Linked DNA regions of Canis lupus familiaris. The protein of the gene in region 1 purifies or fractionates together with the protein of each later gene. This does not show direct contact. Links are inferred from orthologs where the notes say so. Each region holds a gene or a part of one and is shown on either strand. Other genes may lie near its edges. The genes, in order: FBXO10, ACSL4 and PDE6D.

Region 1 (4,328 bases):
CCTGATCTTAGAGGTAAACAGATATGCTTAGCTCAAGCAAAGGAGGGGGAAGAAAGTTCACACTCCTACACTTGTTCTTCCTTCCAAATCTAGGCCCATGTTTGCCCACCTGTAACCTATGGAACACAGTGTTATTGAAATGGTAACTTACTTATGGAAGAACTTCAAAAAGCAATGATAAGGAGTTTAATAATGAAACTCAGTGGTAGTAGGAAGAACACTAACCTGATTGAGGAGCAAAATTCTAAGATTGTATCCCTCTATAAAATCTGTGGAATAATATTTTCTCCCAATTATCCACATTTCTTTTTATGCTCCATTTTAAGTTTACAAAACTCCAATCTGCTATGGTTCTTTCCTATTTCACATTTCACCTTCAAACCAAATGTATGCACATGGCCAATTGTTTTCTGATGTACCATGTTCAAACTGTTTATTAAGTATTAGACACCCCACAACCCTGTGGAGTTTATGACCTGAATTTTTAAAAAGTCAGTGATAAAAAAAAACACACCATCACATTTCCCTTACCCTAGCCTGAACATCTGCTGGAAACCAGGGTAACAATCACACATCCCAAGAAAAGCACTTAAGGACAGGATACAATAAGCAAGCATTAAAAGCCCCTCAACCTTGGGACAGCTGTTATTAGCCACCAAATCTTCCAGAGTCTCAAACTCCTCATCTGCAAAATTAACAATGTTATTAGATAATGAATTTAAGTAATGTTGAAGTTTGCATATAATTAGAATTAAGCATGCTATCTCACAACATCTGAAAATATGAATGAAACCTACTAATGCAGTGATTGCTAGCACAAATCACTTCTAATCACCTTATACCAAACACTAACCATTAACAATAAATAGCATTTGGCAAATGTTAGGCACTGTGCTAATGGCTCCACTTGCATTCTCTTACTTTATCCTTACATACGCTGAAGTAGATAGATATTCCCACTATGCTAATTTTATAGGTGAAGAAAATGAGATATAGAGGTTCAGTTGCTAAAAGTCATTCATCTCCCAAGTGTTGGAATCAGGAAACAAAATCAAGTCTGCTTGTCTTTAGGGCCAGTGACTGTGACCATGGTGCTATTTACCGCACCTCCTTAGGTCAGGAATGGATCTAAATTACCAACATGAAACACAGCATCACAGGGTAAAAACATATGCTATTTGGGTAAAGATGGTAGATCGAGCATAAATCTACTTCCACTCCCTCCTGAAATTCCATTAAATGACAGTAAAGATTTTCATTTTAAGGCATAAACCTAAAATAATTGAAAAAGAAGAGAGGAGACAATAGTAAAATGTTAGAAGTTGGAAACAGACAAGTAGCAAATAACATGGTAGCCCCAAGAAAACTAAAACAAACAACCCAATTTACATCCCAGAATCCCTAAAAGGTTCAGGAACCAAGATCTTCATCTACCTTTGGAAGTAGGAGTGAAGGAGTAGACACTAAAATAAGGATTGGTTGAAGATCTAAGTATTTGGAATGCTCTCTGCAATTCTACATAACATTAAGCAGCTTCTTGCTCAGCTCCCTTTCATAAGTAGTTTATTTTCTGAAAAGGGTAAAATAGAGGGTTCTCTGGATTATGGGATGCCAGGCAGGGATGGGCAGAAGTACTATACTCAATGCAGACTCAAATGCATACTAGACAGGAGATAAAGAAAACAAGATACAGAAACAAGAGATCCAACATGGGAGAAGAGGAAAGGAATTCTCAGGATTGCAGTGAAGGGAGTTCCCAGAATACAGCCCTTTACCAGGCACAGGAGACTACAGTCCAGACTGGGACAGGTCAGAAAGCCCTAGGAAAGACTTACTTGACAAGATCAAACAGAGTATCTAGTGAAACTGAACACTGGGATCAATTTAGATACTTGACAAAAAGTCTAGTTGATTTACTGGTAAGTTCATAGAAAATGAAGCCTAGGAAAACAAAAAGACGTATAGGAAAAGAAAACAAACAGCATTTAGAGTTCTTATGAAATTAATTCAAACAAAAGCACACTAGGTACATTGGAAGGAAGAAGAAATGAGGAGAGGTTAAGAGTGATGGAGTTAAGGAGAGGAAAGAGACCTAATTCTTCCATACATGGAGAAGGCAAGGTCTAAAGAGAAAATTCAAAAAATAACAATATAATCATGCTGTTTAGAGACATGAAGGTAAATACCAAAGCAATTAGCTAAAAAAGAGGTAACTGTAGTTGCCTCTGGGAAGAAGGTTAAGGACTGTCCCCTTCCTCCAATAAACTTAGAGAACTATCTGATGTAAAATACAGCATTTTTTCCTTTGGTGGTACTATAGATTCCCAGCATCAAGCAGTAATGTTGCCTTTCATACATAAAGATTGCTCAACAATAAAATAATGTCACTTTATCAGCATCAGCAAATCCTTCAGTCCAAAACAAGAGGAACTCAGTTTAATGTAGTTTGTAATAATTACAACATCAAAGAGGTCTGCAGCAAAAAGTAGGTTAAGAGAAATAAAATCCCAATTTTTTTCTTAGTTGATACTTTAATTAAAAATATAGACCAATGGTCCTGTGCTCAAGTGTTGTTGTGGCTGTGTGCTGGCTTTTGTAAAATATAACTAATCATAAGGAACAATTCAGCATATGTACTCCAGAAAGAAGTAAAAATGTAAACAGAAATTAGCAAGACAGTGCTATTGTAGACAGAATTCCCTTATAATTAATACTTGTTAGAAAATAGAGTTTGACATTACTTACAATTATATCAACATTCACAGAAGCTGAACATCACAGGCATATGGGTGTACTATCACCACAAGATGTCTTTACTTCCCAAGTATTTTTAAACTTTAGCTATGAAGGTCAGTTACCAGAGCCACACTTGTTCTTAACAAGTAGAATTTTTATGTCCATTCATCAAAGAGTCTCTTACATCTTTCTGGGCCTATTCATTTGCAGATCGAGTAGAAATTGTAACTGGGTTCCTCATATCTCGCATTCACATGTGATGCCCATCTTCATATGCTGTCCAATTTCTTTAGGATAAAAGGTGCTGAAAGAAAAATAAACCCAGAATTTCAGATCTATTAGCCCAAAAGTTACATTACAGAATTTATAAGACTGGAGGGGAAATCTTAGAGATTTAGTTTACTACATTTTTAAAAACAACTCCAAATAATGGCCAAACCTGAGACTGCAAACCTAGTAAAAGAGACTCACTATCTTTCCAATGTCATGAAGCTCTGACTATATTCTAAGGTCCACTTTTACGCTATATAAAATCTTTTCTCCAGGTAGTTCTCTTACGACCATAAAGAACAAATTCAATCCTCCTTTAAAGGACACTCTTTTTACTTTGGGTGATTTAACCGTTAAAGGAATAAAACACTAGAAAAAACAAATTGCCATTTTTCACCTTTATAAACCTATCTGAAGGGTGCTGGGTAGCTCTGTTGGTAAAGGTCTGACTCTTGATTTCAGCTCAGGTCATGATCTCAGGGTCTGAGACTGAGCCCGGCACCAGGGGTCCCTGCTCAGCACAGAGTCTGCTTGGGATTCTCTCTCTCCATCTCCCTCTGTTCCCCTCTCCCAAATAAATAAAGCCATATAACACTTATGTAATCCAAATCATTTATGATACAATCTTACTTCAGTTCTTATAGGGTTTGGTATGAAGGTGCAAAGAGAAAGGGCTAGAAAACAAAAATGTTGTTAGAGGGATCTAAATCTAAAGAAGTGTTATGACTGTCCTATATTAAAAGTGCTCTGGCCGAAATAAAAAGCACACAAAAAGATGTTTAACATCACCAATCACTAGGACAATGCAAATTAAAACTACAATGAGATACCACTTAACACCCATTAGGATGGCTACTATCAAACTGTTGGCAAGGATGTGGAAAAATGGGAACCCTTGTGCACTGTTTGTGGGAATGTAAAATAGTACAGCTGCTATGGATCACAGTATGGTGGGTCCTCAAAAAATTAAAAAGAGATATCTGTATATCCATGTTATAGCAGAATTACTCACAGTAGCTAAAATGTAGAAGCAATCTGAATCCAAGACGGATGAATGGATAGCAAACTGTGGTATATGATAAAATATGATTCAGCCTTAAAAAGGAAGGAGATTCGGACATATGCTATCACATGGATGAACCTTAGGACTCTGCAAAGTCAAATAAGCCAGTTACAAAAAGACAAATATTGTATGATTCCACTTATATGAGAGCCTTAAGAGATGTCAAAATCACAGAGAGAGTTTTGGTTTTACAAGATAAAGAGTTCTGGAGATGGTGGTGATGGTTGTATAACATTATGAATGTTTTTGATACCACTAA
Region 2 (3,621 bases), on another chromosome or scaffold:
TTGAAGGAAGGCCCAGCCCCCTGTGAATTATTATTACCCCTAAGGCCATTGCTGTCCAGTTGGCACTATTTCTCTGACCTGCAATAGCCCCTGGTTTTGTGCCCAATCAAATCAAAATTACTTTGTCTGATCTGTCAGATCCTGTACTACCATAAGCTCTTTAGTCAATGTGCATGCACTTTGTGCCCCATTCAGGCTAGTGAGTGCCTCCTTATTGGCACTCTCCAGCCCCTCAAAGCCCTTTCACTCCTACCTCTGTGTCTCTCCATGTGGCTTCCCTGCCTGGAATGCTCTCCATTCTTTCTCTCCTTTTCTGGGGCCAGTTTAATAAGTCTCCTCTCCACAGAGCCTGCTTGCCCTCCCTCTGAATGCCTGTTGCATTTATTGCATGTACCACACACCATAGCACTTCACTCTTTCTGCAAGGCTCTTCCCTGGAAATGTTTCAGCGGTGGTTGCTCTGGGAGTGGGGTTCCTGGCAGTCCAGGGTGGGGCCCTGGACACCCCCAGGCCCCAATTAAGCCAGAGCAGTTCTGCTTTAGTCACCTAGGTGGGAAGTCTGCATGAATTTTTATTTGAAGAAGTGGTTTAGCTGCCCCCCCCAGCCCCTGCCCCACCAAAAACAGTTTGAAAAACACTGGATCTGACTTGTGTGCTGATTGCCTCATAAAGTGCTGACTGGTCATGAGCAAGGGCTGGGGATGACACTAGTTTGGACCCATGCTTCTGCTGTTCCCAGGCACTGGGTGCAATTCTGAGCACAAAACGAACACTTAGGAAATGACTTGGCCATTATACTGCTTAACAGTTGGGGACGGATAGGAGCTAGTGAACAGCATTACCTCAGAAATTGACCTTAACGAGAGCTCAGAATAGCATTTCTGGGTTGATGGTTGGGAAAAAAGCATAAATCGGGGGGGGGGGGGGAAGGGGAGGTATTTCTCCCATTTCAGGTACAAAACCTAACCCTACTTAAATCTACCCAGTTTATCTACATATTTAAGAGAAACCTCATTATTGGCATTCCCAAGGTTCAACCAAACTTTACTATCCCTGCCATATGTTTGTATAAGCATGAAAGTAGTGTCACTCAAGTGACTTGCAGAGTGATGTTCAGAGTAGAGTATCCCTAAAAACCCAGACAAAATTAAATTCAGAAGTTTATGGCAATGCTTAAAAATGGAAAGTGCCAGTCTTTCAGACCAGTTATTTCAACTTTCTGTATCAGATCAATGATATAAACTACTGAAGACCTGAGTATTTAAATCAATATTGCTATCAACTTGTTAATGCTCTTGTTTTGTTTTGTCTTTTTTTTTCCTGCTCTCTGCCTGGTTCATTGTCTTCACCTACAGGTGTACTTTATTGTCAGCTTCCAAAGATTACTAACTTTTATCTGTATCATTAAAATTGAACTGCCTTGGCTATACTGCTACTCTTACTGCTGCTTCCGTTATTGCCTTCTTCAGCAAAATAAGGCTTTCTGCAGCCAAAGAATAACAAGAAATAAACACCACTGTAGAAGCCTTGCCACTATGAAACTTAGGCTAAACGTGCTCACCATTATTTTGCTGCCTGTCCACTTGTTAATAACAATATACAGTGCCCTTATATTTATTCCATGGTATTTTCTTACCAATGCCAAGAAGAAAAACGCTATGGCAAAGAGAATAAAAGCTAAGCCCACTTCAGACAAACCTGGAAGTCCATATCGCTCTGTCACGCACTTCGACTCACTAGCTGTCATAGACATCCCCGGAGCTGACACTCTGGATAAGTTATTTGATCATGCCGTGTCCAAGTTTGGGAAGAAGGACAGCCTCGGGACCAGAGAAATCCTAAGTGAAGAAAATGAAATGCAGCCGAATGGAAAGGTTTTTAAGAAGGTATGGCATCTTTGTGCTTTATAATTTTTCTTTGAAGGGGAAGGTATGCTTCCCTGTAGCATACATCAAACGCATTTTTAAATATGCTGCTATTCCATGTAAATATGCTGTGTAACCAATTCACAGAAGGTGCTCACAGCTTCTGTATATTTACTTAAAGGCAGTTTTAGAGTTCTATACTTTGAATAGCCTTTTAATTGCTTGTTTGAATAAATATACTCATATTAGAGCATGTCTCCATTTAACAGTTAATTCTTGGGAGTTATAAATGGATGAGCTATCTTGAAGTGAACTGCAGAGTGAATAATTTTGGTAGTGGACTCACTGCACTGGGACTGAAACCAAAGAACACTATTGCCATTTTCTGTGAGACCAGGGCCGAATGGATGATTGCAGCTCAGACCTGCTTTAAGTACAACTTCCCTCGTAAGTGCCTTACATTTTTGGAAGGGGAGGAAAGAGGTTTTTAGTAACATGTGAAATTGTCCTGCAATCCTATTGTTTTCATGGTAGGTGGTCTTTAGCAATTTTTCTGCATAAGTTCTATACATAAAACAGTACATGCTGAGGTGAAAAGCTCTCTGATGATTCCTGTTAAAGAAAGTTAATTTCTTAGAGCCAGTATGGGAATTGGCAGCTTAATGGACACAATTTAGAATTTTACTTTTCAATTGGAAGTGAATTATACCTGAAAGATTTGGGATTTGGGGGTATGATTTAGGAAGCGACACACAAAATAATGATTAAAACAAACAATCATTGCTTAGGATTATTCTAGTTCACTGCTTCATTTCGAGGCCTCCTCTTTGACTTATTCCATTTTACATGTGAAATGAGCACATAACAGCTTGAACTGACATTAGATATGATTGCCAAATTTTTATCATCCCTATACTTACTTTTACAGTTTTCTGGGTTTGCAAAGTCATTTATCCAACTCCAAAGTGGAAATTATTATCTCCCACAGGACAAGGGTAGAGCTGAATTTCCAATCTGATCTAAGTTTAGCAGATGTCCCTTGATTCTAACTGATCTTGGTTTCAGCTTAGGTTTCCTTTGTCTGGTAGCTCCAAAATATAGGCCCACCCACTTACAGCTTGAAGGTCACCAATCAACTTGGACACTGGGCCCACTAAAAAAAAACTCCCTAAAAGGAATGATAACATGATTCTGACTTAAGATCCTCAGTCTGAAGATTCTCAAGGACTTACCCATTTTTTGGTGCTATGACCAAGGAAAGCGCTTGTCACAGGGTAGTTCTAGGTGGGCTTGGTCTGACCTAAGTTAAGAGTTCAGCCAGAAACTTATGGGCCTTGAGAATCTTGATTGACTAATTTTTGAACAGTTGTAGCACTTCCAGTATTGCTGCATTTCTTCAGGTTTAGGATGTTAGAATCCTGAGAATTTATTTGTAAGGAGAAATTGGGGCTACCAGGAAGTTTCAGGCAATATTTAAAGGTAATAGTGGAGACTATGAAATCTAATGACATTATAAAATGTTTTTGCATCCATGAGTGTACCCATCACAAAAGGCTGACTTAAACAATGTACCTCATAAATGAGTATCAGTTAACATGTGTTTTATTTTTTGTTATGTAGTTGTGACTTTATATGCCACACTTGGCAAAGAAGCTGTAGTTCATGGGTTAAATGAATCTGAGGCTACCTACCTGATTACTAGTGTTGAACTTCTAGAAAGTAAACTTAAGGTAAATAAAATTTTTTCTTTGAATTC
Region 3 (4,182 bases), on another chromosome or scaffold:
TGTCCAAGGAAACCTTAGCTTACGCTACAATTTTACCTAGTTCCTGAAATCACATTAAATGTCACCTTGAGCAACAAATAACAAATCAAAACACTAAGTCCTTCCTAGACTGAAGATAAACAAACATCACACTCCTTCACTTACAGGAAATCCACCAAAATGAATGCTTACCTAACCTCTGGGTGTTTCAACCTGGATGAGGATACTTCACTAAGGAAAATAATAATCACACAGCCATGCTGCTAAAAATATCGCCACCTCAGTGTGGTGTAAACAGCCCAAACTGAGGGTCAGGAGACTTAGAGCCGAATTCTAACTCTGTCCCAAGTTGCTGTAACCAGTGGACGATCGCTTCGCCTCTCTGGGGCCTCAGTTTCCTCGTATGTAAAACAACAGAGGGTGGTTTGGCAAATTCTCTTAATATCCCTTCCGGTAGGGAGAGTCTGAGTATACGATCCATATCTCTCCCAGCCCAACGCAGGAGCACACCAGAAACCCCTGCAAAACAAGTAAAAGGCGCCCCAGACCAACAAACAAGCACGATTTAAAGGAGTCATTTTATCTTCCGTGGTTTAATCAAGTGTTTTTGTTTGTTGTTTGCAGCCTTACCATGATTTGCAGGAGATTTCTGAGTTCCATGTAAACAGATGTTACCTCCCTGTGGGCTGTCATCCTCTTCTGAGAGTTAAGGGGGTCTTCCCGCCCAGTTTCAAGTCTCCGAATTCAGAAACCCCCAAGGCTGAGGGAAGGTTTACGAATTTGCGCACACTGCGCGGCACACTGGAGTCTAAGTTACAGAGGAACAGGGTGCAGGGAATGCTGGGATTTGTAGTCCCCGGGCCTCTTTGTTGCGTGATGGGATCTGTGGTTCCCCCGGGCACTCCCCCGGAATGCTGGGAAATGTAGTCTCTCTCACATCGCACAGGGCAACCCGCCGTCATTTCAGCGCCCTAGTGTGCCCCGCGGAGGGAGCGGGCCCCTCGAGCCTCTGCAGATCTGAAGCCAACCCTCCGCTGGGGCAAACTCTAGGCAACAAGACCTAAAGAAAAATTTGTCCTACGGGACTTCCCGGGGAGGGCCCTTCCCACTGACGCTCGTCGTCCCCCGGCGAAGCCGCTGAATGTTTCTATTGGCTGCTCGGGATGCCAATCGGCGAGGAGGGCTTTCCATTGGCTTTGGGGCGGGCGCTCCGAGGCTAGGGGGAAGGAGAAGGGATCAGGAGCGGGAGCTGAGGGGAGGGAGAGGCCGGTCCGGGTCTGGCCGCTGCCGCTGCTCGCTGGAGGTCTCCAGGCCGCGCTGCGGCTCCGTCCTCGGTTCCTGGGCACCGTCTGCGAGGCTCCGCCGGGCCAGCGTGGGAGAGCCGCGGGCGGCGGCCGCCGCATCATGTCAGCCAAGGACGAGAGGGCCAGGGAGATCCTGAAGGGCTTCAAACTGTATCCGCCCGGGAGTGGGGCGGGGCGGGGCCGGGAGGACTTGGGGGGCGGCCGCTGGCGGAGGAGACGGGCCGGGGGCGGGGGCCGCGCCTGCTGGGCTCGGGACGGGAGCGCGGCGGGAGGGGACGGAGGGGACCGAGGGAACGGCGTCCCGGTCCCCCCGGCGGGACCGGGTACTGGAGGCGGGGCAGGGGGCGTCCTGAGGGAGGAAGGAGACGTTGCCGGGAGCCGGGGGCTGGAGTGGAGGAGCCCCTGTCCGAATTGGGCTGGGAGACGCGGCGGGCGTCGGAAACGCGTGGCGGTGAGGCCGGCTTGGGTCCGAGCCTCGGCCCGCGCCCGGAGGCCAGAAGGGGGGCTGCGGCCCGCAGGGAGGGCCGAGGGGCGCGGGGGGCTGGCCTCGCAGCCCTGCAGCCCGTTTGGCGGGAAGGCCCCGGGGGAGCAGGGAAAAGTGACTCGGAGCGAGTGACCTTGGGTGGGACAAATGCAAATGCTTGTGCTGAACTCTCCCGGGTTCCCCCGTCCCCCCCTCTACGCCACCCCCTCCTTGTTTCCACAACTTCTCTGCCTCACTTGTGGCTCCTTCCAGGGCTGGAGCAGAGAGGAAGGTGGGCCAAGAGAAGCCCGGGATCCACCTCATCTTAACACTCTCTTGGCCTTGTGAGGCACTGGATGGTGGCAGCTTCTCTCTCAGCCTTTCACTTTTCTGTCCAGCGAAGTGAGGACCCTGCACTCGAGCGTGAGATGCCTTGAGGTGTTTTGGTTTTGCACCGGGACTCCTGGCAAAGGTATCTGCGCGCTTGCGTTTGTGAGGTTCACGCGGAGACCAGGTGGAGCTGTCCAGCAATTATTTGATTACTTTGGGGACACGGTAGGATTTAGCAGGATCTAGAAATCATTGCCCCAGGCCTGGCCTGTTGTGGTGCCGCTTGTGCAACCTTCTTTCTCTCTTTAACGTATTAGGAAGCCTCGTGTTTAAATGGAGTGTCTGTCTGTGACCATAGGATGCGGATGAAAAATAGGCAAACCTGGACATTCCAATTTCACATTTTCCTGCTGAGCTTAAATCTCTTTTTACATCCCGTGCGTACAAAATGGAACGTTCTCAAATTCTTCTCTCCGTGAAGTTGTAGTCATCACTTTAGGTCTCCCCCCACCCCCCCAAAGGAGATTTAGTGAAGCACTGTTCTCTGAGCTGCCTTTGTGTTTTCACGATGCCCATTTCACCGCTGGAAATTTTAATTGCTTTTCACAGTCAGAAAGCAAGTTGGTAGTAAATTTTAGAACCCAAAATGCAACAACAACAACAACAACAAAAAAGTTACAGGACATTTTAGATATACAAATGAAAAGTTTCAAATGGAAGCTGATCTGCTATGCTTCTTTTGAAAAAAAACGGAAGGCATTATACACTAGGCATAAGGTCATTCGTGGTAAAGTTTAGTAAAAGCCTCTTTTTATAGCTTCGTGTACCTTTCGGTGTCTTTTTTCATAATGGCACCTATAAGTAAATAGGGATGGCTGAAGTCTTAGAAAAGCTGTGACATGGATTTTATTTTTCCCCTAAGTAATTTGTATTGTTAGTTACATGTATACTGTAGATAGTAAAATCAGAGACTGGGGAATTGAGAGATTTCAGAAGCAACGTTTTTGGTCCAATTGGAATTAACATACTGCTGAAAACAAGAAAGAATCTTTTTAATGGTTTTCAAACAAAGAAACTTCTTACCTCAGTCTGGGCTCTTGAAGCTGTTGAGAAAGAGGTTAAGGGACACATGTGGAAAAGAGTAGAAATCATCATCAGGTGAATTAACCAGTTCAATGATGACGTTAGTGTATTAAGAAACAGGCTTTCAGAGAAGGTTTGACCTGAGCTGATTAAATCTCAAGGGAAGCAGCCGCATAAAAAAGTTAGCATGGGAGCAAGAGGATGCTCATCCTCTGGTAGCCTTTATTGACATCTGAGGATTAAGAGAGAAAGGAAAGGAGTTCTAGAATTTGCTACTACCTTCAGGAAAACACAATCTTTTAGTAAAACAAACTGCTTATTGTCCACCTTTTTTATTGGGTGAATTGTTTTTCTGAACTTTCATTGAATCTGTTTCTGTAAGAGTTTTTTTCTACCAAAAGAAAGCACCATTAGAGTCTCCTACCAGCGATGTTGACAGTGCTCAGTTCCACATTGACTCTGTCTTTTATATTTTTGCCAATTTAGACAAGTGATACCTTATTTTAATTTGTATTTCCCTGGATATCTAGATCCCTGGACAGGTAATAGAGCATAGTGGTTAAGAAGAATTCTGGACTGTAGAGCTGTTCTGTGTTGGAATCCCAGCCCTACACTCTTGGTTGTCCCTGAGCAACTCATTTAACCTCAGCCTCAATTTCCTCATCTGTAAATGGGGTTAAAAATAGTACTTATCTCATAGGGTTGTTACGAAGATTGAATGAGTTGATAGCTGAAGCATTTAGAAAAGCACCTGATGCCTAGTAAACATTATATATTAGCTCTTATTATTGTTAGAGAAGTTGCAAAATCTTCTGTTTGGCAGTTCCTTTTCTGTGAATCACTTGTTGATTTTGTTTTTTGCCCATTTTACTATTGAATTTTTTACTTACTGGTTTGTGTGTGTGCCTTAATATCATTTGCCTGTTCTGTATGTTGCAAATATTTTCCATCAATATATTGTTCATCTCCTTTTTAGTTGAACAAATTTTATTTATTTATTTATTTATTTATTTATTTATTTAT

What was found.
Region 2: the proteins of FBXO10 (region 1) and ACSL4 purify together in Homo sapiens (affinity purification with western blotting; 3 studies listed by BioGRID, with this or other methods). This does not show direct contact. The link is inferred for Canis lupus familiaris from reciprocal best matches to the Homo sapiens genes FBXO10 and ACSL4.
Region 3: the proteins of FBXO10 (region 1) and PDE6D purify together in Homo sapiens (affinity purification with mass spectrometry; 3 studies listed by BioGRID and IntAct, with this or other methods). This does not show direct contact. The link is inferred for Canis lupus familiaris from reciprocal best matches to the Homo sapiens genes FBXO10 and PDE6D.

The regions. Positions count from the first base shown.
Region 1 is NC_049232.1:54,227,111-54,231,438, forward strand, and holds the start of FBXO10 (F-box only protein 10), read right to left. Parts: upstream 2,876-4,328; 5' UTR 2,746-2,875; exon of another isoform or gene 2,410-2,745; intron 1-2,409. Other genes in the region: TOMM5 (mitochondrial import receptor subunit TOM5 homolog), read right to left, coding at 3,006-3,040. UniProt on the Homo sapiens protein: Substrate-recognition component of the SCF (SKP1-CUL1-F-box protein)-type E3 ubiquitin ligase complex. Mediates the ubiquitination and degradation of BCL2, an antiapoptotic protein, thereby playing a role in apoptosis by controlling the stability of BCL2.
Region 2 is NC_049260.1:83,553,011-83,556,631, reverse strand, and holds part of ACSL4 (long-chain-fatty-acid--CoA ligase 4), read left to right. Parts: intron 1-1,355; 5' UTR 1,356-1,535; coding exon 1,536-1,886; intron 1,887-2,134; coding exon 2,135-2,312; intron 2,313-3,485; coding exon 3,486-3,595; intron 3,596-3,621. UniProt on the Homo sapiens protein: Catalyzes the conversion of long-chain fatty acids to their active form acyl-CoA for both synthesis of cellular lipids, and degradation via beta-oxidation. Preferentially activates arachidonate and eicosapentaenoate as substrates.
Region 3 is NC_049246.1:43,816,726-43,820,907, reverse strand, and holds the start of PDE6D (retinal rod rhodopsin-sensitive cGMP 3',5'-cyclic phosphodiesterase subunit delta), read left to right. Parts: upstream 1-1,324; 5' UTR 1,325-1,383; coding exon 1,384-1,433; intron 1,434-4,182. UniProt on the Homo sapiens protein: Promotes the release of prenylated target proteins from cellular membranes. Modulates the activity of prenylated or palmitoylated Ras family members by regulating their subcellular location.